Schizosaccharomyces pombe: one gene and its partners. The gene in region 3 interacts genetically with the main gene of each other region. Each region holds a gene or a part of one and is shown on either strand. Other genes may lie near its edges. The genes, in order: vps4, les1, lem2 and suc22.

Evidence for each region.
Region 1: of lem2 (region 3) and vps4, changing one suppresses a phenotype caused by changing the other (phenotypic suppression), as found in Schizosaccharomyces pombe (one study listed by BioGRID).
Region 2: mutations in lem2 (region 3) and les1 impair growth when combined (synthetic growth defect), as found in Schizosaccharomyces pombe (one study listed by BioGRID).
Region 4: of lem2 (region 3) and suc22, extra expression of one rescues a mutant of the other (dosage rescue), as found in Schizosaccharomyces pombe (one study listed by BioGRID).

Annotation. Positions count from the first base shown.
Region 1 is NC_003424.3:814,183-821,857, forward strand, and holds vps4 (AAA family ATPase Vps4), read left to right. Parts: upstream 1-3,820; 5' UTR 3,821-3,934; coding exon 3,935-3,958; intron 3,959-4,024; coding exon 4,025-4,136; intron 4,137-4,179; exon of another isoform or gene 4,180-4,246; coding exon 4,247-4,733; exon of another isoform or gene 4,734-4,792; coding exon 4,793-5,468; 3' UTR 5,469-5,557; downstream 5,558-7,675. Other genes in the region: rbm17 (G-patch type RNA-binding protein), read left to right, coding at 269-1,174; alx1 (BRO1 domain-containing protein), read right to left, coding at 1,333-3,438; protein phosphatase PP2C catalytic subunit Ptc3, read right to left, coding at 5,981-6,823, 6,863-6,936, 7,195-7,522. UniProt on the Schizosaccharomyces pombe protein: Involved in the transport of biosynthetic membrane proteins from the prevacuolar/endosomal compartment to the vacuole. Involved in multivesicular body (MVB) protein sorting.
Region 2 is NC_003424.3:1,034,267-1,041,746, reverse strand, and holds les1 (nuclear bridge Ish domain protein Les1), read left to right. Parts: upstream 1-3,537; 5' UTR 3,538-3,564; coding exon 3,565-3,631; intron 3,632-3,685; coding exon 3,686-4,914; 3' UTR 4,915-5,108; downstream 5,109-7,480. Other genes in the region: Rho family GTPase Rho3, read right to left, coding at 2-74, 149-212; karyogamy protein Tht2, read right to left, coding at 901-1,506; efm6 (methyltransferase), read left to right, coding at 2,098-3,081; SPOM_SPAC23C4.04C (uncharacterized protein), read right to left, coding at 5,239-5,350, 5,404-5,714; haspin-like kinase Hrk1, read right to left, coding at 5,985-7,451. UniProt on the Schizosaccharomyces pombe protein: Inner nuclear envelope protein involved in nuclear fission, which is achieved via local disassembly of nuclear pores within the narrow bridge that links segregating daughter nuclei.
Region 3 is NC_003424.3:2,230,498-2,238,867, forward strand, and holds lem2 (LEM domain nuclear inner membrane protein Heh1/Lem2), read left to right. Parts: upstream 1-3,780; 5' UTR 3,781-4,100; coding exon 4,101-6,167; 3' UTR 6,168-6,276; downstream 6,277-8,370. Other genes in the region: rRNA (pseudouridine) methyltransferase Mra1, read right to left, coding at 1-915; protein Edc1, read right to left, coding at 2,652-3,590; RNA polymerase I general transcription inititation factor subunit Rrn3, read right to left, coding at 6,499-8,298. UniProt on the Schizosaccharomyces pombe protein: Nucleus inner membrane protein involved in meiosis. Plays a role in regulating nuclear envelope (NE) morphology and nuclear integrity, particularly during spindle pole body (SPB) extrusion or insertion through the NE, and perhaps during karyokinesis.
Region 4 is NC_003423.3:3,716,512-3,724,248, forward strand, and holds suc22 (ribonucleotide reductase small subunit Suc22), read left to right. Parts: upstream 1-5,111; 5' UTR 5,112-5,243; coding exon 5,244-6,419; 3' UTR 6,420-6,561; downstream 6,562-7,737. Other genes in the region: nucleolar protein Dnt1, read right to left, coding at 1-345, 398-540; MCM complex subunit Mcm7, read right to left, coding at 1,127-3,409; trm1 (mitochondrial tRNA (guanine-N2-)-methyltransferase Trm1.1), read left to right, coding at 6,872-7,737. UniProt on the Schizosaccharomyces pombe protein: Provides the precursors necessary for DNA synthesis. Catalyzes the biosynthesis of deoxyribonucleotides from the corresponding ribonucleotides.

The DNA of each region.
Region 1 (7,675 bases), 1.4 Mb from region 3:
GGTGTATAGTAATTAGTTTCAGTAACCTCACCACCACTTAGGTAATTTGTTAAACTGTCCACAACTCCACAATTAATCAATGCATATATAAGGTAATTTAAATTTTTGAAGAATAGCCTGCTTCCTTAGTCTATCGATGTCAATATCTAATTTAACTACTCCTTAAAAAGTGCCTTGGAATTAAAGCAGCTGGAACACTGTAACCTACTTTCATAGCCTAGCTTGAAATTCTGTTATTGCTAAACATTGTATTTGAGTCACAAACAAAATGGGCTTTATGCTTTATGAAGGAATTGACTCAAAATCAATTGAAGAAATAACCGAAGAAAGTGAGAAAACTAAAACTGACTTACAAAAAGCTAACACACCTAATAAAACCGAAGCCGTTCATTCGTTAAACAACACATGTTCAGAACAAAACAGTGGTACAAAAGATTACCTTAATAGCTTACAGTTTCTGCCATCAAATTTCCGACCGAAAACCCACAAAAAGAAAAAAAGTGTTTCGAGTTATCTATCTTCTACAATCCAGAAGAATGCAAACGAAAACATTCCTCATGTGCAATGTCGAAATGATTCACAATCTACTGTTACTACCAGAAATCCAACTCCCTTTAAAATTGAAGTGGGGATTTATCCAAGTAAGCCGAATAATTTAAATAAAGAACCTCCTGCATCAACTGTTCATTCAGATAATCTTGGGGATGCAGTTGAACACGAATGGGTGGAGCTATATGACCCTTTATTCCCAACCAGCTATTCAGTTTTTAAAGAATCTGATTATGCAAATTTGTGTGAAACAAATTGGAGTCATTATGTTAATCAAGTTCCCTCATTGTCAATTGAGGCAAAACTTTCCAACATTGTAAATGCCTCAAAATCCGGAATTGGACCTCCTCCTAGCCTATTAAGTCATGCAACTTTAGCACGGCCGTCTGAGTCAATGGTTTTATCAAACAATATTGCTGCGGAAGATCTAGATTTTTTTAAGAAATCACCCCCAGTTCCTGCTATATCTAAAAAGGAAAATGTAGCGTTAAAAATGCTTCAACGGTGTGGATGGAAAGAAGGTCAAGGTCTTGGTCAGCACAATCAAGGCATTATTAATCCACTCCATGTAGAAATCTCGGGTTTCGTTACAGAAACTAAGCACTCTAAAATTAATGATAAATGAGGAGAATCTTAATGTTAATTTTTTTATCAACGTGTAATTGTATATTTTATTAGTTAAATTAACGGGGCTTAATGAAAATGAAATTTCTTAATCAACTTTTAAAGATAAAATTTGAACATGTATGCGGATTTAATACTATATGATCACATATGATAATCCTATTTTTTTGACGATTTAAACTTGATTTTATGGATTTCAGGATTGAAAGCATTGGAGGAAGAATGCTGCAATTTAATTTTGTTAAGCCGATTTTCGTTTTCATACCTGTTTTCATATTGACTATAACGTTCCTCTGCTCGACAAATAATATTGTATAGCTCACGAGCTATTTCTGTTTCATTGCGTACTGTTTGTAATAAAAATTTATACTTTTTCTCAGTTTCTTGTGAGAATGAAAGAATTTTTGAAATTTCAGAACACTCTGCCTGTACTTTGAAAGAATTTAGGTAGCTTTTCAGTTTTTCAACATTCTGGATTATAATTTCTTGCCTTTCCCTTTGTCGTCTAAAATTCCACTTGGCATCAACAGCTTCTCTAAAGCATTTTAAAAGTGAATGAATGTCGGTGTGATTTGAGTACATGGAGATGTTAAAATAATCATTACTCCCTAATTTTTTTAACATATTTCTCTCGTCTTTAAGCAAATCCCACTGTGCCAAGTAAGAGTTTGCTTGCAATAATAATTGATCTGTATTGGGATTTTTTTTCTCAGCCAAGTTTGACAAAATTCTTTCAGACTGGGCAGATAACTCAAAGATGTCCTTGCCAAAGGCACTGATATCTTTTTGAATGGTATCCTTTGCGTTTTGAGAATTTTCAACATTGACTTTTAAAAGTGATACTTCCTCATGTAACTTTATAACATCGCTGTAAAATCCTTTTTCTTTCATGTTTTGGGAAGACTTTACCGAATTTATTATTTCGTCTAACGCTTGACAACAATGTCGATATGTGCCATTAACTTTATCAATTAAACAATCAAGAGAAGATGCTTCGGACCTTAAAAACTCAAGCCCCCCTAAATTTTTTATTTCAGTAAAATTTTCCATTACTTTATTTGAAGTTTCAGTTATATACCTATTGTCATTGACGGACTTTATCTCTTCCATAAGAGCAAAAAGCTTTTCTGTACCTTCTTTAGTTAAGCAATCAATACTCTTCACAGCAGCATCCAAAATATTTTTTTCATGTTCTTCAATTAGATCCATAAACTCTTTGTCCAAACATGTCGAAAAATATGGATAAGCAGCCGTTTTATCCGTCAAAACATCTGGTGTTATCGATTGAACCATAGTAACTGTATCCAATAAAGGAAATGAGCCTACTGGTATTTCGGGTTGTAAATGAATAAAATCATTGTCCCTCTCATTTCTTTTTAATTCAAACTGTAAAGAGCTTTCAAGTTTTTCAAGTTTTTCATAAACTTTCACATTAAATCCAAAATCGAACCTGGTTTTCAAAGCTTCCTTGCAATGTAACAGAGAAAGCCTCAAGTATGAAATGTTTTCTCCATATTTGTTTAGGGAGTAACTTGTTCGCGAAATAATCTGATAAGTAATAGTCTGGTAAAAAAGTTTTTGAATGTAAGTCCAATGAACGAATATACTCGGTGCCCCAGTTGCATTTTTAAATAATTTATATGCATCTTCGTATAAGAGGAAGACTTTTGCCAGAATCTTTACAATGATAGATTCACTGGTCGTGTCATTTGAGTTAGCCTTGCTAAAAATACAAGTTTGAGCCTCAGCAAGGCAATAAATCTCCCAAGCTTTCAGTAAGTTTTCATTGAAGTCTAAAGATTTAGTGTATATATAGAAATCATTTATATATCGAAAACAGCCAGCAGAAAGCTGAAAATATTGACATGCCTGTACTAAATTAGGAGGTTTTTCATTACAAAGGGAAATTGCCGTCGTATGATAAGTGCATGCTAATCGATATATCAAGCAAGCATGCTCAAATATTAGATTTTCAAAAGATTCTCTCTCGTTTGAAGAACTAGACAATGTCCACACAAATGGTGCTACGCATTCTGATAAATGCTTTTGTTCTAAAACACACAACAACTGGTGGTAAGTTTGAAAGGAGCTCAACGAATTTATTGAAGGATGCGACAAACATAATTGACTTCGCAAAGCTTTAAAGGTCTTCAAATCATTTTCATATGTGAATGATTTGAAGCAAGACAATCTTTTCAATTCATTAAACAGAGGGTCACAACTCCAATGAAAAGTGTTTTTTGTTGGTATATTTAAAAATTCCATTGCTAATAATGTTTGAATAAGTGTCTGGTTATTTTACAAACCAAGAATCTTGTCACGAAGTGCTAGAGCAATTGCCAAACACGCGTCTTTAAAAAGGAATAACCTTAGTATAATATCGTTCACAAAGCGATTGTTGCAGGTTATCACCCAAAAGAATACTTTATTAGGACAACTGGTATATCAAATGTTGACGATAGCGAACAAAAAAAAATACCCCGTAAAAATGCAGTCAAACTTATTCCTTTAGAATTGTTAGTGATGAAATGTAATTTATCGTGCGATAGAGAAAAATATTGAGGATGGTTATTAGTAGCTAAATGTAATGTACCTCTAGGTACTTAATGCCATCATTAAGCCATTGTTGCTACTGATTGTACTACTCACACCAAAACCCATTATCCAGAGCAGACCCGTTCAGTAACTTAGCTTTTTAATTTCATTGGATTTTCTTTTAAATCTACCTTTTTCATCATTAATTTGATATTTGGCTTCTGTGATGTCCAATCCAGATTGTTTAAGTGTAAGACTGTTGCATGGAGTAACTCGTCCGAATTTGAACCTTTGTCTAACATTCTAACTACTGTAGAAAGCAATTTCATTAGTAAAAACTGCTATTGATAATGACAATGCCGAGCAATATCCTGATGCTTACAAATATTATCAAAGTGCACTAGATTATTTTATGATGGCCCTAAAATGTAAGTTACTCAATAGTTTGAATTAGGGTGAGGATATATTGTCGCAATGATTCATAAGGAAATTTATATTTGGATCTACATTTTCAAGTTATTGTTTGCTAATATTTCAGATGAAAAAAATGAAAAATCTAAAGAAATAATTCGTTCAAAAGTTATCGAATATCTAGATAGAGCGGAGAAGCTCAAGGTTTATTTACAGGAGAAAAACAATCAAATTTCTTCAAAAAGTAGAGTCTCTAATGGAAATGTAGAGGGGAGCAATTCTCCAACCGCTAATGAAGCGTTAGACTCTGATGCAAAAAAGTTAAGAAGTGCATTGACTAGTGCAATTTTAGTAGAAAAACCAAACGTTCGTTGGGATGATATAGCGGGACTAGAAAACGCAAAAGAAGCTTTGAAAGAGACAGTTTTGCTACCTATTAAGCTGCCGCAATTATTTTCACACGGTAGAAAGCCTTGGTCAGGAATATTGCTCTATGGTCCTCCTGGTACTGGTAAATCGTACCTTGCAAAAGCAGTCGCTACTGAAGCTGGTTCTACTTTCTTTTCGATTAGCTCCTCAGATTTAGTTAGTAAATGGATGGGTGAAAGCGAAAGGTTTGTTATTCTACGTTAAAACTATTTACTCTTTAATATTTACATGACTAACATTATAGGCTTGTTCGTCAACTTTTTGAAATGGCGCGTGAACAAAAACCATCTATCATTTTCATTGATGAAATCGATTCACTGTGCGGAAGCAGAAGCGAAGGTGAGAGTGAATCTTCTCGAAGGATTAAGACAGAATTTTTGGTACAAATGAATGGAGTTGGAAAGGATGAAAGTGGAGTTCTGGTTCTGGGTGCCACGAATATTCCTTGGACTCTTGATTCTGCTATTCGCCGACGTTTCGAAAAGCGTATTTACATTCCCCTGCCTAATGCTCATGCCCGCGCTCGGATGTTCGAGCTTAATGTCGGTAAAATACCTTCGGAACTGACCTCACAAGATTTCAAAGAACTTGCTAAAATGACCGATGGCTACTCGGGTTCAGATATTTCTATTGTTGTTCGTGATGCAATAATGGAGCCTGTAAGACGAATTCACACAGCTACCCATTTCAAAGAGGTATATGATAACAAGTCTAATAGGACCCTTGTAACTCCTTGTTCTCCTGGTGATCCTGATGCATTTGAATCTAGTTGGCTAGAGGTGAATCCTGAAGACATTATGGAACCAAAACTTACTGTTCGAGATTTCTACAGTGCAGTTCGTAAAGTCAAGCCTACGCTTAATGCTGGTGATATAGAAAAGCACACACAATTTACAAAGGACTTTGGAGCAGAGGGATAGTAATATGATAAAGGAGCTATTTTCGCTTAGTTTAATGATACCATTATTGTAAAGAAGTATAATATCATGACTACACTCACAAATGTTGAATCACTTTAGTAAATTATGGAACTAGTAGAATATTGAAGGGAATGTATATTGCTTCGACAATATCTATTAGGGCAATCGGAAATTAGTCTGGGTATGTTTACTCATGCCAGAGAAATATTTTCCATAATCTTAACTGATTTTGAATCAGGATTATAAAAGACAGTATTCGACAAAATTGATATAGAAATCGCATGCTATCAAAAAGTGCAAAGTAGCAACGTACCAAAAACCTTTTCATTCTCGGAGGTAATCGGTATACGTCGCAGGCACGTATTATACGAACAACAAAAGAAAAGCATGAAAAAATGTTGAAACAAAACCGCCTAGCGTGACTTTTATAATAAGTCAACAAATAATGCTAATTACGAGGAATATTCCTAAAAGCAAGTTACATTGTGTAATATGCGTGAAGTAGGGAATAATCAATCTGCTGCAGACACAGCCTCCTTATGATCATCCGCAACATCTTTGTTAGAATTTACGATATCGGTTTCACTTGAAGAATTTTCCTCCTCGGCTTTATGAGGGAAAAAGTGTTCTTTCCATCTGAACCCAGCTGCAAGGGATCCGTTGGTGGAATCATCTTCCTTAGAATTTTCATTCGCATCTTTGTCATATCCATCAGATCCATTTAACTTTACTTGATGAAAATTAGGTGGGACAATAACTTTCTTATTGTTATCGCCACTACGCCATCCTGGGCCATGATTTTCGGCATACTCAGGAGGAGCGCAGGGTCCGTCGTTAGCGGCAACTCTATCTGCAATCTTCTTATACCATGCTGATTTATCGTTTTCTTGCAATAAGGCAACTATACAAACAGTCATGTTGTCACAACCAAGGCCGGTAGTTTCGGTGTCACTGGCTATGCAGTTATCCATTAAATTTTCAGCAATCTTCTCAAGAGAGGTTCCAGCAACTATGCCACGTCTAACAAACTCGATCACTTGCTGCGAAGTCTTGCAATCCCAAATACCATCACAAGCGAGTACGACGAATTCATCATCGTCAGTAATCTCATGTACAACAACATCCGGTAAGGCAGTAACTATTTGTTTTTCTGGTTCTAAATTACTGTTTTTGAACTCAAAATCACCGATAGCTCTTGACAAAGCCAAATTTCCATTTACACGGCCAAAGTCTACAAAGCCACCAGCCGCACAAATACGGGCTTTTTCGGCTTCATTTGAAGGCTTATGGTCTGCTGATAGAGGTTTTGCAATTCCCTTACTGCCAAGGACAGTTCTTGAGTCACCGGCATTAGCCTACACAATTAGTAAGACTAAACAACTTCCAAGACTTACACAATAAAGTTTATTTCCAACACGAAGAACAACAGTGGCCGTGCAACCTGATGGATCCGTATGAAATTGATCATCTGTCAAAATAGTTAGCAAAATGCAATGTAGTGAAATGACAAATTTTTTTTCTGAAACCAAACTAAATGTAACAACTTTTCAACATCAAGAGGTAAACATTTCTATTATCTTGGTAACAATTTTTCTAAGCATTAACTAGACAAAAGAACAAAAAATCTATAAAAATTTCAAACACAAAATTCATCAATTTTTTGGCGACTTTAAAATGGTTATGATATCAATGAAAACAACTTTATCATTGTTAACAACAAACTTACCATCCAAAATAGCTTTATCAGCATTTAAAAATGAAGATTTCAAAGCATTAACAAAATCGCCTTTCTGAAAATCAGGATTCTTTTCAAGAATCTGAGGAAGATTGCTTCCACACCATTTCGCGACTTTGTCTCCACCGTGGCCGTCATAAACCGCAAAAAAGTCGACCGGGTCTTTTACTGCAGAGCACTCCATTGAAAGTATAGCAGAATGAGCATCTTCCATTGAGATACGCCATCCTTGCATGCTTGAAAGTCCATAAAGGACGAACTCATTGCTCCCGTTCACCGAGTGCTTCTCGGTGACTGGCTCTGATAATGTCTGACCCATTGACAGCTCTTGCTAATAGATGACACAAATTTTCACGTTTTCTTTTTGTGTCGCTTCAAAACGGGTTATGTAGTAGTGATAGGTAAATCGCTAGTAGGTGGTGGAGCTTGTCGGAGGGAGTGTTGTGGCACCCTCTACAACTACATCACCACC
Region 2 (7,480 bases), 1.2 Mb from region 3:
CATAGTAGGCTCGTATACCTGAGGGAAATAACCCTTAGTAAATACATTTAACAAACTGGTTTTACCAGCAGCACCTATAATTTACGGTTAGAATGCTTAGCTGCGAAAATCACGAAAGAAAAAACAAAATTTTCACCAAGATCCTTACCATCACCAAGAATTACGATTTTCCGATAAATAGGCTTCTTTTTACTTCCGAAACAGCTTGACATACTTTCAATGAGCTTCAATCAAGCTTTCTATGGGTTTTTCAATGGTTTCTGTATAATAAAGGATTAGAGGTGTTTGGTTTAGGTACGAATTTTGTACCATGAGCTAAAGCCTACGCAAGACCCCAGCTTACTGCTTAGCGAAGGACATACATGTCCTTGTGCGCTGTAGATTGGCTTCTACATTTCAGGTAACAATCAAATTTAGAATAATTAAGGCGATGCGAACCAGTTTATTAAAAGAGATACGGAAATACGTAATACAGAATGAACTTCGCAAGTAGGATTGTTTCATAATATATTTTGATGAGTAAAGCATTAATTCATTGATGAACAAAACCTTCGAAGGATAGTTTTACTAAAATATATTGGGGAAGTCTACTCTCAGTCTCAAAATGAAATACACGGTATATATAACGTGATTGCTAAATAGGAAGAAAATCAACAGCACCAGTTAGTGAAAGTTGACCAAGGGCTTGTCAATTTTGAGGCAACCCTTTCAATTGAAAGTTTAAAATTTAATTGAAAATCGTACTTTGATGAGTTTGAAAAAGGAGTCACACAATAGTACAACCAACTTTACCGTGGTTTGTTTCATGATAATAGTTTAATTTGCACAGCAACTGTTGGAATCATGAATTGAATAGCACCTTTAAAAGAAGAAAATTTTGTTTGACATTTGAATATGCTTTTAAACTTTTTGTGCCGCTTTATGGCTACTTTCCATTATGTCGTAAAGTGTTTTTGCCGAGTCATTCAGAGCATCTGTATAATGTTGAGTTAAAACAAGCCATTCGGCTACAAAAGAAAGCATCTGTAATTCCATCTGTTTTCTATGATAACCCAATTGGAATTGGAAAAACCATTCTTGAGAAGAATCGCAAATTTGAAACTCCTTCGCTACCTTTAACGTTGTTTCAAACGCCTCGCACAATTTGCTGTAAACCATCATACAGAATTTGAGCATTTGTTCAATTTGCTTTGCTAGTGACATAAATACCATCTTTACTGTGTTCGAGGTTGACACAGACGTTTTTTTCATAAGTGATTGATTTTTGTACAACCTTCTTTTTGCGCGCAATAATAGTCTACTACGTTCACTGATAAATACCATCTCTTGAGTTACATAATTATACATTTCTTCTGCGTAGCTTTTTGCATTTTTTGAAGATACGCTAATTTTCGTCAAATTAACTGTTACGTCCCCAAAGCTGGGATTATCATCACTCAAGCTTTTCATATAAGTCTTCCATTCCATTGGAGAATCAATTAGAAAACTGGACACCTGATTCTCCATTTTCTGTATTGTGAGGTTAAAATGTGAAGGGATCAATACACGTTTTCTCGTTTAGGTGCGCTGGTAACAACAAAAAAGTAACAAACAAAAGGAAAGTCAGCAAAACACATAATAAACCAACATGTAAAAAAGTGTTAGTGCAATTGCTTATGCCCTCAAATTTGTAATTGAGTGTTTATAAAGTTCATTTCCTTATGTGAATATTCGTATTATCAGTTATGACTCGTTGCTCTGCTTGCGACTTAAGTTTGCTACCATGCGTTTTTCTTACAACAATTCAGAGATTATTTTCATGATGATTGCTACCGGGTTGCATGAATTAACAACTTAGTTCAATTGTTTTGCTTTTACGATCAGTTTACCCTCTCTCATATTGCGGCGATAATCTGATATTTCAGAGAATTTTAGTTTTTCAAATTGCGAAAAAAAAAATTTTTCAACCAACTTGTATTTCATTGCTAGTGGTTTATTTCATTGATTGGTGAATGTGGTTTAAAGGGAAACTGAACGTTAATAGATCATTAAAAAAATTTCTGTAAGACCCCCTTTTCTTTATTTTTCCAAGGATTTTTAAAGTATTTGGACGCTTGAATGACTTTCTATTATATTAGAATTTTAAGACTCCAAGAAAAGCTCGAAGAATCCTTTAAATACGCTTTACGAGTGGTTTTTACGATAACTTCTGATCTGGGCGAAGTTTCATATCCGCAAGATGCAACCGTAAGGGTTGAAGCATTGGATAGACAACAATCTCACAGTCGTATCACAATTTCTAAGCAATGTGTTTCATGGATAGGGAATGGTCACGCGGCTGAAACGACTTTGTATTTTCCTGCTAGTCACCAGCAAATTCAATTGACGCTGCATTTAGAAAATCAGAATTCAATCGTTGATTCTATACACATAAATGCCGATACTGTATTACCAGTTTGGAGTGAAGCTTTTTCACCGAAATCTACTTTACCTAATATGGTATGGCGGTATATCCAAGGCCCAGAAAAAAAGTCACCAAACGATGGTCTCTGGTTTCTCGAACAGATGGGTAACAGTATTGCTAAGCACTTGTGGGATGCCGGCGTAGTTTTCTCAAAAAAGATTCTTTCTGATGATTGGCATTATAGCTTTTCCAATAGAAAAGACATCAATGTTTTAGAACTAGGCTCCGGATGTGGAATTGTTGGTATAAGTATTGCTAGCAAATATCCACGTGCTCTTGTGTCAATGACCGATACAGAAGATGCGATTGAATTTATGGAAAAAAATGTTGAAAAGAATAAGTCTGCAATGAGCAACAACATAACTTCTGATATTTTAGTATGGGGACATGACATTCCTCGAAAATTTCGGCGTCATTGGGATTATATTGTTATGTCAGATGTCATGTACAATGAATCTAGCTTTTCTGATTTGGAGGCAAGTCTTCAGGAATTGATGGATAAGAACACAAAGTTATATATTGCGTACAAAAAAAGACATGACAATGAAAAAACTTTTATGAGCAATATATTGGGATGGTTGGATCTTGTTTACGAAGAACGTGGTCCAATCACTATTTACATTTTACAGAAAAAATAAATTTACTTTGCATCATTTTCATTTTTCTCTTAGGATGCGTTGCTGAATCTGTCAACTTGCGAATCTCGTAACTTTTTTGTAGCAGCATGTTTATATTGAGATGTCTTTTCGGGTTCTTATACACAACGGTCTATAAAATTTGTAGCATCGCATAAAACCAATTTTGCATCTAAACTATCAGCGAACTTGGGAACCCATGTAAACTCTGCAAAGTACATTTTCTGTAAAATTGAATTTCGGCTTCCAGCTTTTTTGAATGGTGTTATGACGACTGGCGCGAATTTAATGATTTAGCATATTCTTTGATAAAAAAACAACTCAACATTATATAAAGCAGTTTCCTTTATTTATTCTGCTTTATTTACCCTGTTCTCTGTATGCCTTGAAACTGGCTCGGCTTACGTCATATAGCAGCGCATACCAAGTGTAATACCCATCAAGCATCACGCACCATCCATTCACCCAAACACATAGAAAAATACAATGCAGCCAAGGTTTCTTCTACACGGAGCGCTTTTGGCATTAGGAATACAGCTTTGTCTGTCAATTGGTAAGTGTTGAGTTGCTTTTCTACAGAAACAGCGGCTGACCCGGCATTGTCTAGGCAAGATTACAGGCCACATATCGTCTATTGAAGCGACTGCAGCTGATATACATGATGCGCCTAGTACAACTACGAAGTATGTTCAGCGAACCGTTTACGCCGGTAGAGAAAAGGGGAAAATAGGAGGACCAGCCGATTCTTGGCCTCAACGAAAGCTTGATGACTTTCTCCAAAATCATGGGGTAAAGTCACTGGACGTTCCTCCTATCGAGACTCCTTCACAGTTTTGGAGGAAGCCATTACAGTATGTATCAAAGGTAACCGACAAATGTAAATCTTTCTATGAGAAGGAGAAGAATCATGCTTCTCATAACGCACAAAAATTGGACGTTTGGATTTTCAATTCATGGACCAACTCCGAGCTTTCTCGATGGCTTATTAAGAATAAGTACGAAGTTCCAGAGCCTGGAACCCGAGAGCAGTTGTTGGAAACAGTTTTCCAAGCATCAATGGGCGATGCCATTTCCACCAATGATGAGTTGGAATCCTGGTCAAATAATCTACTCCTTTCTATGTTGGATCAGAAAAACATTACAGTACCAATTGGTGCATCACATGACGACCTAATCGTCTTGGCTAGACGTTATTACGATATTGAGGAAAGAAAATCGCAAGACAAAGTGACAAATATTACAGATAGCCAGCCTGCACCATATATGAAAGAAATTATTCACTTATGGTCAGACGGTAGACTTATTGATTTTTTGCGAGAGCGAAACATTCCTATTTCTGTTCTTTCACCTCGGGAAACTCTTTTGAAAGAAGCATACGCTAACCGCTTCACACCGCGTGTAATGATTGCCTCCAACGTACTAGATGGATGGTCGTCTGAGGACTTATTAGATTGGATTTGGAAGTACAATAAACGTGGTTCCATATTTTCCCATGTTGCTTACAACTCGCGTCATGAACTTATTCATGCTGCTAAATTATTTTATATGGATGTTGCTTCTGAATGGAGCTCTTCTGACATGGCATCGCTAAACGATTCTTTATACTCACATCCTTCTGTCTCCAAACAGTCTACCTGGACCGAAGAAGAACTCAAAGAGGAATTGGAGTCATTTGGCGAACTTGTCCCCGTTCCATTTTCATCTACCAAAGCTTTTGAACGATTACTTCCCCACCTGTATTACTATTTACGAGGTCCTGCCTTTTTGAACAGAATACATTATTGGCAAACATTCCTGGGTAACTCGCTTAAAAGGGCTTTTGTACTTTCGCAGTAAATACCATTTGTGTCGGTAATGTACCATTGAAAATTGACCACTCGAAGTTGGAGCCATGCCTTGTTCATTAACTGTATATTTCTAGTTTATTTTTTTTTGTTGCCATTTATTATAACAGATACTTAACTCAGATTTGCTTTTTTCTCATTTAGTACTAGTTTATTAAAAATAATAAAATGGGTAGTTTTACGGAACAGTTATAATAATCTCTACAAAGTTACTTAGTATGTAAGTTTTTTTTGCAGAATATTAATGAGGTTGAAGATTTCTCATGAAACAAAATCGAATATGATGAGACAAAAAATGTTTTAATATAAACCCTGATCAAAGTTTTTCGTCTTCTGTTGTTACATTGGGGTCGATAAGTTCGCCGTTCTTTACCTCTTCATCACGTTTTGTAGCTTCAATTTCCGAACGCAATTGCTTATATTCTGGGCTATCATTCCCCACTATAGTTAGCCATTTTTATAAATGTTTGATTCAATTTACCTATTTTTATCCCAAAGTGGTTTTGTAGAATAAAACTGAAAGATTAGTATTTTTATTATTTTGAGGGATTGAATTCTCAGCGCTATATTCAAGCTTGGTTTTTTAATTTTTGAATTATACTTACAGCAGATGCAACACCTAATGTGCAAGCAAACAATAAACCCATGGGACCGCCACGACTCCTTCCGCTCATCATGGTGCACTGTAGTCGGAGAGTCCGAATCATAAACTGGGAAATAGAAAGCCATATTGGAAATTATATAATAGCGACTACAATCATCATAGGATTTACTGAGGAAATAACAAAACATGTACACTCATTTGTGATTTAAACAGTTAATAATTCTTATTTACTTATAAGTTTTGCTAGTCAAAGATATGTAATTTTTTATGTACAACAAAAACCCCACATAAAATGGTCAACTTTAAGAAAAAAAATAACCAAAAAAGTTCACTTCGACGTCCAAAATTTAAAATATAAGTACATATGTATAAGATTTTAGCAACGCATACCATGAAAAAGAAAGGAATATTAAAAAAATGCGAACGCCGTTCAATTTTTTAGTATGCAAAAACCATAATTAGTATTTTTGACGGACCCAATTGAGGAGAGAAGTTGCAGATGTAACTGTAGATTTAGAGCGAATCGAGTCTTCGGCCTGCTGGAACTGCATTGTTTTAACAGGGTCAATAAGCCTAAATATTTGCTTAAGACGACTTCTCATAAGCGTCTCAGTCTCTGTTAACGGCGATGACAAGTTCTTTTTGTGTAAAAGTTGATGAATTAAATAATGCAGCCATAAAACGTTTGTAATGGGAAAAAACTGCGCCCATCTTCCTTTTGTCACTCTAGACATTAACCTATATATATCAAATTGGTAGTCATCTACACCGTTAAACAGATCGGGGTCGTTAAATTCATTGTAACTAATTATACCCTGAGAATACGATGCTCGGGCTAATGTAAAATCAATCAGCGTAACTTGAAGTATGTTGTCAAAATCATCAGCCTTATCTTGTGAGCCGGGAAAATCGACACTTTCAATGTCGTCAAGCGATATTTCATTTAAAAGAAACGAAACTTCCTCTTCACTCCGATCAGCTTTCCGAATAAGAATGTTTCCCCAATGTAAATCTCTATGCTCAAACTCATAACGAGTTTCAACTAAAGAAAGAATTTTTAATGTTTCATAAAAAACCGACCAGCACTCTCGCCAACTACGGAGCTCAAAATGTTCCAGATCTGTTCCTGAATGATCAAGACATAAAACACAATAAAGTTGCGTTGATGAATAGCTATCTGGTCGATCGTTCTCAGAACCATTTTGCATAAGATACCGATCCCATTCTTCTAATAAAAGTGAAGGATAAGTACCTTTAACGACAACTACTTGATGAAGGTTTGCAAAACCGTCGACTTTTATCCATTGGCTAATCTGTACTTCATTTAGGACATCAGCATATTGAGCTTGTCCGTCTTCTCCAAACGGGATAACTTTCCAAACAACGGGAACGTCATCAGCATTGCTGGCTTGGTATACTTCACTATAACTTGCTTCGCCAATTTTTTGGATCTCAAAAGTCTGAGACTTAACAAATTGACTGAATGGAAGAGCGTCTTCTTGCGCTACTATTTGGAGGAGCCGATGAAGTGGATCTAATTTGGAATTATTTGCGGGTTTTCCGGATAAAGCAACAGAAGATGACAAATTTACAACCTCTTTTTTACTGACTACCGACTTTGATGCATTATCCCGAGGAGAAGCCGGTATTATGACAGTAGGTACCAGGTTTTGATTTCGTTTCGCCAATAACTCATTTTCTTTGTATGAACCTTTTTTTAAGAGAATGTTCCAAGATAATAATGAATCTTTTTTCGGTTTAGAGTGAATATGCTCAAGGTCACTTCTTTCTTGGTTATTAAAATTTTCAATGTTCCGAGGTTTCAAAGCACAAGGCCGTTCATCTAAAGAAGCCCAAATTTCAATATCTTTATTAATATATCTACGGTTCTTTCCATAAGTTTTAACTTTTGAACGACTTTCCATATCTTTTCCTACATTTGTAAATATTGAGG
Region 3 (8,370 bases):
GGGCTGTAAAGTCTCAAGATACTTGCGAGGAGGAACAGTAGGAGCATCAAAAGATAATGTTGCCTTTCGACAGTTCGGAGGAAGGTAGTCTGTAACTGGATTTTTGATCACCTTTAGAAGCTTTTCATTGCCATTCACACTACGAATAGAGAGCTTGTGAAGAAGCTGCACCATCAAACCGGAAAAACGTTTGAAAGTTCTAGGAATACGAACAGAGGGATTCACTTCAATCAAAACTTTCTTAGCTGTGTGAATGTACACTTGAAGACGACCTGCCTTATTCAGTGGAGAATCCAAAAGAGTCAATAAGCATTGATGAGTAATATCAGGACGCGCTTGAGCAATGTTACGGTTTAACTTTTTTAAAATACCTTGATGATCATCGCAATTTAGAAGTTGATATTTTGCATCCTTAGCCTTGCCAACTTTATAAATTTCCAAACATGCTTGGTCCAATACGACAATCAAACGCTGTGTTGTAGTATCATGAGAACCAATTGACCTCGCTGGTATTGGCGCCATATGGGTAGTAACACGATGAACCGACCCTGCAGGAAGTGGACGAGCTTTGACGGTTTTGGAAGAAGCACCATTGGGATCCTCCTTTTCTTCATCTGACTTTACTACATTATCTATTTCTAAAGCCTCAACACCCAACTCTCGATCGATAGACTCTGGCTTTTTCGAAAGAGCTTCAACAGAAGCTTGATTCTCACGAAGTCGTTGTAATTCTTCATCTTCAATAGAACCTACTGCACCATTACTCTGCTCCTTTTCATCTTGCATCAATTCACTAGCAGTTTCACCTGACGTTATTGTTTCACTCGATTGACTTCTCTTTATGAATTTGGGTTGATTGGTTTTCTCAGAAACCTCTAAAGAGCCTCTAGACTTCCTTTTGGAATAAGTAGGCATGAATGATGAAAAAGCTAGTCTACCAGATATTGGGTTTCGACAAAAAATAATGGCTTGAGAAATTTGCTTTTGGTGGTAGCTACAAATAACTATCAGATCTAACCTACCTTGCTTAAACAAGATAACGCATATTTACGAACTTACGATCCGCTTAAACCAACAAGTGTAAAACCAAACATATCACTCGCGCATTGAGCTGAACAAAACAATGACTTATCTAAATCAACAAAAAAATTATAAAAAATCTACACACGCCGAAAATTTGTTTTCAATGAATTCTATATTAACTAAAAAAATGCAGGTAATATAAGTCCATCTTCAGCAAAAAAAAAAAAAATAAAAATAAAAATAAAAAAAAAACGGAAAAGAAGTAAAGGAAGTGGATTAAAAGGAATGTGTAAACAGGTATCGTCAACACACAGAAAAACCGTGCCTTCTAATACTGTTGCACATATCAGGTGGATAAATACACAAACGCGACACATCAGTGACGGAAATATGTGTTTATATTAGAAAAACTAAATCACCACTTAATGCAACATTATTTGTAAACAATGAAGGAAAGAGATAAATTTAAAGTTTTAAAAAGAAATGATTCCAAAACTATTTACAAATAAGAGCAATAAATGTTGCCGTAATTCAGTCTTTACGTAAAAACGATTTGCGAGTGAAAGATATTATAATCAACGATAAGTTGACTATCTTGACTAGCAATGAAAGCTCAAAAACCGAGGGCTTGAAAATTGCAAACATTCAAAAAAAAAAAAGCATAAAGCACATTGCATGTACTCCTTGAGCGTAGAAGATAGGTTACAACATTCGCCAAAAAAGGTGACCACATAAATATCACTTATATTAGCAAACATCATGTATATCATGGACGAAAGTTTAAAAGGTTGGCAACCAAAGCCAAGTTCATGAGAGGAAAAGAAGATTATAACTATAATCCTCGACACAGGAAAATAAGATGTACTGTCATCGCAAAGCAATAGGCAACACGTCAGTAATAATTAGGAAAATTAAAAGAAAAAAACACAAGAGAAAAAAATGTACGAGACCGGTGAAACAAGTTTCAAACAAATCTCGATAAAAGCACAACGAGATTATTAATAGCATAATAAAAACTAGCCAGAATAAAATTAATGCAATATGCAGATCATAACACCCAACGCTCATAAAAAAGGTAACAAATGCCCATTCTAAGCATACAAATCGAAAAGTAAACGAGGCACATTTTCGATAAATAGTCATTGACGAACATTTCCATATTATAAATGAATTGCTCGCTCAATTAACTAACAAGGAATAAGATGAAGTTAAGGAAATCTAGTCAATAAAAATCAAGATTTCAAATCCAAGAAATCCATTAAAAACGTTGGCATTTCTTTTAACTATAAGCCGTTAGAAAAGGAATTCAGTAGCTTTTGTATGAAATCCTCTAAAAACCAAAAGCGAAGGAAACAAAATTAACCCATATAGAGAGCTAAATTCTATAATCCAAAAAAACAGAAAGACAGAGGTACATAGGGTGATAGTAAGAAAGTCATAATACTAGCAAAAATACTAGACTATGATAAATTCTCTTGGCCAATGTTCAAATAAATAGTGCTACAACGAACACGTGTAGATAAACGCGGAGACGAAAGAAGGTGAAACAAAAAAGTGGAATAGTTAGAACAGAACACGAGGCTTAAAAAGGTGATATGTCCTTAGACATAAATAAGCATCCAATGAAACTATGCACTTCCTTGACGCAGCATACGGAACAAGCGCTGTTCACGATCGCGATGAAACAATAAGTCTAGGGCAGAAGTAGAATGACAATGAATGCCGTTATTAGGGGAATTCAAAGTAGGGGTAATGTTACCAGTGGGATGGCCGGCAGCATTGAAGTGATTAAAAGAAGGAGTGGAAGCTGAATAGTTAGTATGAGGAGAATTGTGTCCACTGTAAAATCCATTCGTCTGTTGAATACTCTGCAATGAGGGATCGTTACGAGACATCGGACAAAAATTATGACCCATGGCAACTTCGGATGGGGTTGAAGGAACAGAGGAAGATTGATGAAACTGGAAAGGCATGTTTGAGTTCACACTACCAGTAGGAGGTTGCCATTCAGCCTTTTCGGAAACGGGAGAGTGTAAGAACGTAGGGATGGGAAGATTAGAAGCGGCCGGAGAATGAGTAAATGTAGGACCGGCGTAAAGAATGGAATTAGTATCGGAAGAGGAATTCGAAGAAAAAGATCGATCAGCACCGGAAGAATTGGAAACGTAAGAAGATACAGACTTCAAATGAGAATCAACTTCTCCGACGGCAACCTTATCAATTCCTAAGCCAGCAGGAGCCGAAGCAACACCAGAAGGAAGGTGGGAATTAGAATTGCCACCTGAGATACGAGAGCCAGCATACGAACTGTGACCAGATTTAGAGCGTCGATTCCCGCGTACTTTATCGCCATTTCGCTTACCATTGCTTTCACCAATGTTAGAAGTAGCAAAAGTACTCTTGGGTTTCACAAAGTTAGGTATCTGGAGATTACCATCTCGTTGGGGCATAATCGACATTCCATCTAAACTGAACTCGACATCGCTGGAAGCAACCATTGCTCCGCCCGGTTTAGAATTAATTTTCTTCTTATTACGTTGAAATCTACGTCCAATGTCTTTTTGCATTTTTTACTATAGTCAAAATTCGAGTAATCCCTAATGATCATGGATTCTGTATTCTTAGTGATTGATGTTGGTTAAGGATAACTTCGGGGGCAACACTCTTACCCAATATACGTTATTTGGGCTGAGGTGACACAAAGCAATGAGCTGCGCTATGCCTCCTTATAGAGCTTTCTTCCCTTAACCATTATTTGCCACCCACTTTAACTGGCAAAAAGAAAGAAGGAAAACAAAGATTCGGCACAAAGATAGAGAAATAAGAAATTGCTTTACCTTCGTTTAGTGAAGTCTTTTATTAAATTTGAAAAGGTGTGTTTGAACAGTGGAATTCAAGCAATTTCCTAAGTATATTATAGCTCATTGCTGTAATATTATAAATTTGTATGGGATTGCAATTACGTTCACGAATCAGCAACTTATGCCAGGTTTCCTTTTTAATGTAGATAAGGATTCATGTAATTAACTAGCTTATATCAGCTTTATACCATTTTTGATCAGTTTGAATTATTCACCATGGACAATTGGGAGGACCCTAACTTCGAATTGCGAAATCTTCGTGTCATAGACTTGAAAAAGATCCTTCATGAATCGGGAGTGTCATTCCCTGTGAATGCCAGAAAAATAGAGTATATTAGGATGGTGGATAGAATACGGAAAAACAAATTAAGCTCTGGTCCACAACATTTATTGTCTCATCTTCAAAAAGAGGAAAACTCTAACACCTCAAAAGCGTCTAGCTCCGAGGATGAAATAGCTCCTAAATACCTTTATCCCTCCTCTCCTTCCAAAAGCACGAAAAAGCCACACAACGAAACAGAACCGCTTCTGTCTCCACAATTCATTGACAAACCTAGCAACATTGAAACCCCGGTTAAAATAGAGTCTCCGCACGTCTCTCAAAATAATACCTTTCAGTCCTATTCTGAATTGAGCCCTAATGTGGAAACATCGCTGACTATGAAAACTCCGCCAGCCCACGCGTCTACACCAAAATTTCGCTCGCATAAATCTCATAGGGTAGCTGTTCCTATGTCATTTATGGATAGCTCTGCTTTACATACTTCGCCAGCATTTTCGGAGAGGTTAAAGCTGCTTTCATCTTCAAACAATTTTTCTCCACAATTGAGGTCTCCCAAAATATCACATCGTCTACAAACTTCAGCCACTTCTAGTCCTCTTCAACATAAACGACCCTTTACTAATGTTCCTGAGCGAGTCTCTCGAGATATCGAGTTTGCTCCTCTTGACAGTGCAAGGCCCTCTGAATCTTCATCGCCTTATTCTGAAGTAGACTCTGCTGAGGAAGATGACGAGCTTTTTCAAAATTACGTTTTGCAGCAGACTCGAAAAGAAAGCAAACTTTGGTCGTTTATTAAAAAAGTATTTCACGACATTAAGTACGCCAATTATCGTCTTCTTCACAATTTGCGCGCCTTTCCTGGAATCAGCGCGATATCTTCTTCTTATTTAGTGCATATTTTTATGATTTTATTAGGAGTGGTGGCAGCAATTTTTCTGGCTTTATTACGGGAGAAAATGTTTACAGCAGGATTCTGTGATTCGGGTGCCAGTGGAAGTTCTGCTTCAATTCTTGGAATAAGTTTTCCATCATTGTGTAGAACTTGCCCTCCGAATGCAATATGTCCCTCTCCAAATTACGTTGAATGCAAGCCCGGATATGTCCTCTACGAACCATGGTATTCAAGTTTAGGATTTTGGCCCTCCAAGTATTGCGTTAGTGATACTTCTAGAGAAGAAAGTGTTAATATTTTTCGTGAAGAATGTTTAAGTGTATTAAGATCCTGGAATGCAATTTTGCATTGTAGCAATAACTCGTCAGATTTGCTGGAACGAAATATGTCGTACAATGCGCACCCTTATGTCGCCGATAATCTTAATATATCATCTGATCATATCTCCTTCCCATCAAAACCATTTGCGTTAGGATTATTACATGATACGCTTCTTGAAAGAAAATCTCCAACCCTTGGCCTTGAAATGTTTGAGGACTTATTTAAAGCTTCTTTGGCAGTACTTTCTGAAACGAATGAAGTTGTCATGGATTCAAAATTAATTTGCTACGATAGCTGGGCAGGTATTCCTTTGCGGTGTCGTTTAAAACAGCAACTGATAAAATTTGTTTGGAGGAACAAAGTTTTTTTATTTGGAATCCTTGCGTTGTCAGGAGTTATTTTTAAGCTCATCAATTTTTTTCGTACTCGCAGTATCGTAGCAAAGTATCTACCATCGGCTTCTCGATTCTGTGTAGAATCTTTGAAGAGACAGAAAGCAAATTATCAAATGTCTCGATCTCAAGAACCCGTTATACCACTAATCGAAATGCATGATATACTCTTTCATGGAAATGGCCCATTGGAACAAATTCATATGACGAAAGCAACTGCTCGAACTCTTTGGGAAGCAATAGTCGAACGTGTTGAACAAGTTGGCAGTGTAAGAACTCGTGAATCAGAAGTAGACGGCGAATGGACCCGTGTATGGGAGTGGGTCGGCACAAATACTTTGGATTTCCAAACCGATCGTTCATTTATTAATACAACTTCCCCTTTACGTGAATAATGATTCTCGACTGTATTTCTAGCTTTGTATTTATGACATTTTTCATAGCTAATACAAAAGTAAGTTAATAATATATTTATCTGAATGCTTATACATATTAAAAATGAAACATAAAATTGGTATAATGAGGACTTGTTTGCAAGGTTGATGAAATTTAACTGTATTTCTTATATTAATGTGATTCTTAGTTATACCAAATAAATTATTTTAAAATAAAAACCAAAACCAGTACCATTTTTGATTGAATATGGGCATGTCTAGAGTAAGAAATTAGCGGAGAAAAAATAGGACATGTCACATAGAAAGGGTATTTAAAAAAAAATAAAGGAATTCAAAAGGGAGATTCACCCAACATTACGGTTGAAGATTCGTAGTCTGTGTCTTCTTCTTCCTCGTCATCATCCAAACCTGGAATTTGTTGCCATTCGTTATAAAATGGTTGAACAATTATAGAAGACTTCGTAAGCCGGTAAGGATCAAAGGGAAAATAGGCATCCATAGTGTCGAACCCTTCTCTAAAAATTCCTTTTCTGTTTTGCTCAATAATGGAATAGACGTACATAAAATTGAGATGATTTGCAACCTTTGCAAATTGAAGTACAATATTGGGGGAACAGTATCTCAATGGATTAAGCCGAGAAAGAACGGACCGATGAAGTATCTCTAAGCCCGGTATCCATTCGTTAGGTCTTGGCTCCATGGATTCAGACTCATCAGAGACACAAAGTTCACGCCAACGAAAGCAAAATATGTAAAAAATACTTTGATTAATTGCGTAAAAAACCGAGTGTTTAGATAGTAAATCATCGGACAGCTCGTTTTCACATTGATCTAAGTAAGCTTCAACCCAACGAGTCATCATATTAACGATGATCTGAATTGTATTTTTTTCTAAAGCTTTGGCTCTAGCAACGTAAGACCCAATATACATTGCACCACTTAATCTTAAAGTATAAGGTTGTGATGGGTCAAGACAAACTTCCGTAAGCACTCCAAGGAAAATATCAGTAAACTCGGGATCCAACTGAGAAGCCCAAAATATCAAAAATTGAGTATATCGACAACGGAACGTTTTAAGGACCGTGTTCACAAATGATTTAATCAAACTATTATAAACCAAGTAACGATCTCTACTAGTAGATTTTAAATTGGAATCTAAATAAGAAAATAAAGTATACAATAGCTGATCCAGTTGCTGCATCAATTGACGAGTGTCTGTTAATGAGGGAGGAGTCAATATTGTGCTAGATGTCATTTCACTTGAAATAGCAGTATGCCGTTCATATAACGTTGAAGCTGTAATAACTTCAGAATCGGCATTGCTAGTTCCATCATCATCTGTTACCACTTCATCCTCCTCCTCATCATCATCATCAACCTCTACTTGTATTTCCACATCAATTTGGATAATTTTATCAATTATTGCATGCAATACAGGACCTTTAATTGATGGTACATATTCACATATACTTAAAACGTTCGAAATATAAGTCATCTGTGCTAAAAGGCTCTCGTCCTTGTACGGAAACTCCTCAAGTATGCTACTATACAAGAAGGAATGCGCACGGGGAACAAGTTCCAACACATATTTTAAAGCCATATGAGCATGTTCATAATGGATTGCTAAACTATCAGGCCGATACAACATATGCTGAATCAGCATAGTCATAACTAGCGGCAAGTAATTAGATTGTGCAGATATGAGATTTCCTAAAAATCGAGTATAGCATCTCACAAAGGACTCATCTCTGCTCACCCAAACAGAATCTAGTACGCTCATAACTAAAGAAGAATTAGAGCTATCCAATCTGGAAACATTGCACGTCAAAGCCGACAATAAGTTTTGAAGTTGCAGAGAGGAAGGTGCATCTTTAGTATCACTTTTTGCAGCAAACTGTCTTCTAAGATCTTCATAACCGGCAAAATTTCCTTCTGCTTTGTCGTCCAAAGCTTTATTGACGAAAGCACGTAACATTTGTTGCATTAATCGTCCATCATTTTTGGAAACTGAAGAGGCAAAACTTTTGGAACCTACAGTACGATCGGGAACATTTGTAGAAGATGCCATTGTCCCGTTGTTAACACATTTATTAATATATTGAGGATTCGTAGAGGAAATGATGGAAGGCATTGTAAAGACGAGATAAACACTTGCACTAATCACAGATAAAGGAATGGATGCAAACAAAAAAATAATAAGAAT
Region 4 (7,737 bases), on a different chromosome or scaffold from region 3:
GGTCTGTATACAAATCCAGGAGAGTTCGCATCAATTGCCTCTACAAAATTTTTTTTTGGTAGTTTTCGAGGGTTTTCACTCTCATCCGGATGCGTACGCTTCCCATTGATTGCATGAACACCATTAGATGCACTTTGGACAGTAGCGAAATCATTTTCAACGCCATCTAAATCATGTTGAATATTTTTTTCTTTGAAGTTTATCATAGTCCCATCTAATTTCTTCAACGGAGAAGAGAATGATTCGACAATGACCTTGGAATTAGTGGGAAAGATTTCACCGACTAAGTACTCATTAGGAATGTCGTAGCTTTCTTCATTTTTTATATTTCTTATGTTTATATTTCTATAATAATTTTCGTTAATAGTAGAAAGATGGAGCATGCTGCTATGCTTACGATTCAAAAGGATAAAGTGATTTGTAAGTTTCCTGCACTTTTTCTTTTAATAAAGAAATTGAAGAAGATGGGTCAAACAGAATCATAAATTGATTATCTTGTTCACCATCTTTGATTATATGAAGCCTTAATGTAGTTCTCATTTCGAATATTCAGCAAATTTCTTTATTTGATTCTTACGGAGAAGTGGATCCGGCAAACTAGTTATAATGGAATTAATCAGTATTAAAAAGACGTTAAAACAAAGTAAGTTATTTAAAATGGAATGCCCATTTCTTGACACCAATGGGTATCCAAAGTTGGTTGCTCTAAGGAAGTGCGTAAAGTTCTATTCGCAATTTACTCGGCATGACAGCAGGAAGGGTGGGACAGCAGTGATGAACAAGTTAAAGGTGTAAAATAATGCTAAATGTCAAGAAATAAAAACTCATTACTCATTCCTACGACTCGAGCATATTGACACGTATCTTAAGGTTTTATGGTCCTTCCAAATCTAACGAAACATATTGGCTTAATATATCTTCCTTTCAATTGCGTGAATTAACATTTGAATACAAGTAAATAAACTATCATAGATTAAAAGAACGACAGATGTATTAGTCAGAATTAAAGAATATTCAACAGAAAAGTAGTTTGACGTCTCAGAATAATTTCTATAGGTTGTAAATTAGCTTAAAGCAATTAATTGGCAGAAAAATTAAATGATAGGAGTTATCTATTAGTAAATTGTTAATTCTCCATATGTAAATCCGGATCGAGGAACATTATTGTTTGACCATTGTTTGTAGTTAAAAGAACACCAAGGTCTGTATATTCCTGTATTGTATTTATTAAATGATCTTCAGTAAAACCCTTAGCAAGTACGCGTTCACGAATAGCACGTAGTGTAAGTGAGCGTTCATTGCCTTCAACATCTGGTATGCTATTAAGCATGTCTCGAATAATTTTATATATTTTCGAGGTAATAGTAGTATCGTGAGAACTAGGATCCAAATCATCGTATAGTGATGACTTTGAAACAGACATTAATCTCAAAGCTTCATCAACATCGCCAATCTCCACTCTATTACTGAAACGCAAACGAGCTAATGCTTGTCCCATTCGCAAAATAGCGAGAAGTGTACGTGGAGTAGTGTGAGCGAATTGACGCTCATTGGCTTCATCACGCTTTTGGTTTTGTCGAAGTTGAACATAAGCACCAGTAACATAGTCGCATACATCCTTTGGTACGACTGGGCGATATTGTCTAGCAGAAGAAATATAATGCCTAATCATGTTTGGATCTAATGGTTCAAAGTCCATTTTAGGTTGTTCGTTATGCATGTGAACATATGTTACGTGTTGTGCCAAATGCTCGTCTGTTTCACGAGAAGGAGTATCTAAAATTAAAAATAAAATATCAAACCGGGAAAGCAGTGCAGCTGGAAGATTTATATTGTGGATTGGTGCCACTTTCGGATTATATCGTCCATATAAGGGGTTCGCAGCGGCCAAAATACTTGTTCGAGCATTTAAAGTCGTAGTGATTCCTGCCTTTGAAATTGAAATAGTTTGCTGTTCCATTACTTCATGAATTGCTGTACGGTCACTTTCATCCATCTTATCAAATTCGTCAATGCAGCAAATACCGTTGTCAGCAAGTACTAAGGCACCTCCCTCTAAAACCATTTCATCCGTCACTGGATCACGCATTACAGCAGCAGTTAAACCAACACCTGAAGATCCACGACCTGTGGTGTATACTCCTCTCGGGGCAACCTTCGAAATATACTTTAATAATTGAGATTTTGCGACACCAGGATCACCAGTTAAACAAATATTTATGTCACCACGAATTCTCATTCCATCCCCTAACTCTTTAGTAACACCTCCGACAAGCAACAGAAGTAAAGCTTTTTTAACATCTTCATGTCCATATATCTCGGGAGCAATGGACTTGGCCAGTTTTTCGTACACATTGCCTCCTTGATTTAATTCAGCGATAGCAGCCTCCGATTGAGGAGTTTTTTCAATATTTGTGTAATTTTTAATGATTTGTGAAACATAATGGCATTCTAAGTAAGTATCGGTTAAGAGCCCGGCGCGCATTGCTCGAAAACCAGTATACGGAGTCGGCAAAAATATACCAGAAATATCAACGATATCGCCAGGATTTACAGAGCGAGTGATAGCACCATATAAGTGGACGGTTAATGATCTAGGGATATGGCCAATAGGTACTTGGTTCGTTAATTCTTGTATTTTTACTTCCTGAAAAGGAAGAAATTTACTGGCTCTTGTGCTCATGAAAAGCTGACCTTTTGCATCATTCTTTTTACATTCATCCGAAGGACATTCAGACATTGGAAGGAATGTCTTCTGACGGATTTCTTGAAACACTTCATACCCACATCGATCACATGTATAAGCATTTACAGTTAAGCTAGGCTTAACATCACTTGTACGAGTAACTATACCACGGACAGTCAAAAGAGATCCCAAGTTTTCGCCTCTTAAATCACGAACGCTGAATGGTTTTTTGTTGCGAGTTACTGGTCGAAAGTATAAGTCATAACCTCGGGTTAATTCAGGAGGAAATCCTTTATGCTCAGGGTCTATATTTTCATTCCTTTGAACACGTTGCTGCATAATTACATCAAGTACTTCGTTGCGATAATTAATTTCCACAGTAGGAGGAGGCATCAACGCATCTGCGCACTGCGAAAAAAGTTCAACAAACCGTTTAGCATTAGATTCAATATTATGCAAAAGCTGAGTATCACTTGGATCGAACTCGTACAAATCATTCAAATCAACATTAATAACATTTGACTCTCGATTGGAGATTTTTTGTAGTATATCCATATACTTTGATTTTAAAAAAGGCTCATCACCTGCATCCGACATCGAAATATCCTGATTTTGTTGTCCATCTTGAACCTGTTCCTGCTTGAAGTGGGATAGAAAATCCGTAATTTTATGTTGACATTCTTCATACTCTGGGATTTTTAAATCTATGGTGGGAAGTGCCATGCTTTTCAAACCAAAAAAGTATCCCAAAACTTTTCTGCTGAATTAGCAAAAAATATAAAGGTTCAAAAAGAAAGCAAGGGTATTAAGTAAGGGTAAGATACCAAGAAAGGTTCTTCTTTAGGTTGTTTTAGTTAGTTGGTAGTATGAATCAACGCGAACTCGTAAGGTAACAAAAATGTAAATATTGTAACTTAGGGCATATACAAATTGTCATTGACTCTAAAGAAATTGCAGTGTATAATTTTTTTGATTCTCTACATATTTCCTTTTTAATTTATTACTCTCGCAGCAAAAGTAAACATTCAGTTTGATTTTAAAAGCCACTATGTAGTACTGTTAGAAATTTTTTTTGGAGAGTATTCACTATGTATAAATAAACAGTTTATTTGTTTTAAATTAATAATAATCATTTTGCCAGACAATAAATTGGTCATTTTATTTTCATAAATGTATGTCTAATTGTTTTCATTGCTTCAATCGATTGTTATTTTAGCTATCCATAATTTTTCCTATTTTTCTTCTACACGTTTTGTATTTCTAAACATGAGAGTTATTTAGACTACTGCCTAAAATTTATTTCACTTTTATTTTTAAAAATTTTTTTGAAAACTTATGAAGTAAGTTAGCAGGGAAATTCTCAAAAGAAATGCGATATCAACAATATAAAAACTTCGAGTAGGGAACTTTTTATTTTTTGTTCGGTTATTTCAAACATCAGTGAAGAATGAATATAGAAAATTCTTTATTGTTTTATACCACATTGTAAACTGTACCTAAAAGCACAACACGCAATAGAAACGTGCTATTGGAATGCTTATTTATTTTCTGTTTACAATAGACGAATATAAGTATTTCTTTTTTTTTTTACGAAAGGATCAAGGTATTAAAATTATTCACAGTATGTGGCTAGGTCTCTGTCGCGCTTATCTTTTTTTAATTAAGCAATGTCTTTATGTACGGTCGCGTCGCATTAGAAGTTTCGTGATTTGTAATATTTGAGCAGTTATAAAGCGCTCTACATCTCGGATGAAAAGGAGATTGTGAAGAGATATTTATTTCTAACATCATATCGTACTACTAGGCTGATATCATTGCGTTTCATCTACAACATAAATTGAGGTACCCTGACGCGTCTTAAGTATTACACTGAAAACTACTTTATTAAATTATAACAAAAAGTGAGAAATTTAATAATTTATTTATTACATAAAGTAATAAATTCATTTCTATTTTTTCAATTATTTGAGCCTAAATAATTGAATTTATTCGACTCCACGCTTAGCATCGAATTCTTCGATTTAAGCTATCACATTTTTCTATTAACTAGCTACAATTTCCTGCTTTAAGAAACCGTTATTATAACACACCAGAAGGGAAAGGAAGTAAGCCCTTGCTTTTCCCATTTAATTTGAGATTGTCTTCGAATTTATTTCATTTTTTTTACTCGTTGCGTTTGTCTCCAAATATTAATTAGTACATTGTTTTTTTTCAACGTTATTCATCTCCATCAGCCTTTGACTTAGTTTAACTGCAATTTTCCACTCTGTAAAATAAGGCAGCATTTTGTCTATTTTGCCTTCACTCTTATTCATTGTGTTATCATACCCAAAGTGCGACAAATTAACATCCACAAAAAAAACGGTGGTGTTGAATATACTACAATACTGTGCACTACATTGGATAACCTACCTTTGAAAGTTTTGCCATTAACCACAACACATCTTGGGAAGCCACATCGCAAGAGATAATCGCGGTGGAAGAAAACTTTTGTACTTATTCTATATACAGATAAATCCGGTCAGTTTGGACGAAATCTCATTATTAATCTTACAAAATGGGCCTTGAGCATCTCGAAGAATTCAGTTATCCTAAGGAACATGGTGAAGAAGTCGAGTATGATAGCGAACAAGGTGTTCGTAAAATTTATGTTAAATCTATTAAAGAAACCTTTAACTTTGATAATGTAAGTGAAGAAGAGAAACAGGAAGGAGGCGACTACTACTTGGGCAAAAAGGAAGATGAGCTTGATGAAGTTGTGCTTCGCCCTAATCCTCACCGCTTTGTTTTGTTTCCAATTAAGTATCACGAAATTTGGCAATTCTACAAGAAGGCTGAAGCATCTTTTTGGACTGCTGAGGAAATTGATCTTTCGAAAGACTTGGTTGATTGGGATAACAAGTTAAATGCTGATGAACGTTACTTTATTTCCACTGTACTCGCCTATTTCGCTGCGTCAGATGGTATTGTTAATGAGAATCTTCTCGAGCGTTTCAGCTCTGAAGTTCAGATCCCTGAAGCTCGTTGTGTTTATGGTTTCCAAATTATGATTGAAAATATTCACTCTGAGACCTACTCACTTTTGCTTGATACATACATTCGTGAACCTAAGGAAAAACAGCGTCATTTCGATGCTATTTTAACAATGGGTTCTATTAAGGCCAAAGCCAAGTGGGCTCTTCGTTGGATTAATGATGAAGATTCCACCTATGCAATTCGTTTGGTTGCCTTTGCTGCTGTAGAAGGTATCTTCTTTTCTGGATCGTTTGCCTCTATTTTTTGGCTTAAGAAACGTGGACTTATGCCTGGTCTTACTTTTTCCAATGAATTGATTTGTCGTGATGAGGGTCTTCACACCGACTTTGCCTGTTTGATGTTTAGTCATTTGAAGCACAGACCAGGCCGCAAGGTTGTTGAAGCCATTATTGTTGAAGCTGTTGATATTGAGAAAGAATACTTCACGGACGCTCTTCCCGTTAGTCTGCTTGGTATGAATAAGGATTTGATGTGTCAGTATATTGAATTTGTTGCTGATCGTTTGTTGGTTGCTTTGGGCAATGACAAGTACTATAACGTAACCAATCCTTTCGATTTCATGGAGAATATCTCTTTAGCAGGAAAAACAAATTTCTTTGAAAAGAAAGTTTCTGACTACCAAATTGCTGGCGTTATGTCGGGTACCAAGCGCGCTGAGAAGGATGATCATACATTTACAATCGATGAGGACTTTTAGATGACTAGTTATTTTTGGTTTTTAGATAAGTTAAAGCAAAAAAAAAATATTATTGATTACTGATAACCTATTTAGCAATAATAAATTAATATGTTTAATTAGATTTTCGTTACTCTATACTTTACAAATCTAAATGGCTACTTCAGTGAATGTAATGACGAAGTTCTAATTTCTGAAGTATTTCTATTCAAGTTCTTTTCTCTTTTTCATTAATTTACTACGTCTAAGAAAAGTTATTTTCCAGTCATAGACTAAAAGACCATTTACTTATTATCCTTATTGTCAATTACCTAAACCTACAAGATTACATGTATTATACAATACTTTGTAATTCGATTTATGGTTGACTTATCACATCTCGTATTTTTTTAATGAATTACTGCAAATTTACTCTCAAAAATAATCAATACTTTCTTTTTTTTTAACGATTATTTTTCTTTAATTCGTATTAAATGTATGAAGCCAATATGCTAAGATTAAGTCAAAGGATCTCAAATGCTGTGAATCACTTCTCAACCGCCATGATGTCGGGGGCTTCTGCAAGTTTGACCGAGGGTAGTGCAATTATACCATTTTCAAATCCGAATGAAGTCTTTTATAACCCCGTACAACAATTTAATAGAGATTTAAGCGTTACAGCTATTCGTGCTTGGTCGGAAACTAGATCCAAAAAAATTGTTGCAAAATCTCATCACCGGCATCAGCTTCTCGATCAAAACTCCGAACTTAGCCAAGAAAATCTTACTAAATGTGATACAACTCATGATTTTGAAAAAAACTGTTCGGAAAAGACAGATTCTACTTCAGCTGATAATATTGCTGGATTTACCATTTTAGAAGCACTTTCCGCTACTGGATTGCGTTCCATTCGGTATGCTAAGGAGTTGCCAAATGTCAAAAGGATACTTGCAAATGATTTATTAGAAAATGCTGTGAAAACCATCGAGAAGAATGTTAATTACAATAATGTGAGCGATATAGTAATTCCTAATAAAGGAGACGCTAATGCTGTTATGCATATGAACAAATTTCATTACGATGTGATTGACCTTGATCCTTATGGATCTGCTGCCCCGTTTCTGGATGCTGCTGTACAATCCGTTTCAAAGGACGGTCTTCTATGCATCACATGTACTGATTCAGCTGTTCTAGCCGGTAATGCATATCCAGAGAAATGCTTTTCTAATTATGGTGGGTCCTCTTTGCGCTCTAATTTTTGTCATGAGCAGGCTGTTCGTCATTTGCTTTATGCTATTGCAGCTTCTGCTGCAAAATATGGTCGCGCTATCAAGCCGCTACTTTCCCTAAGTATTGATTT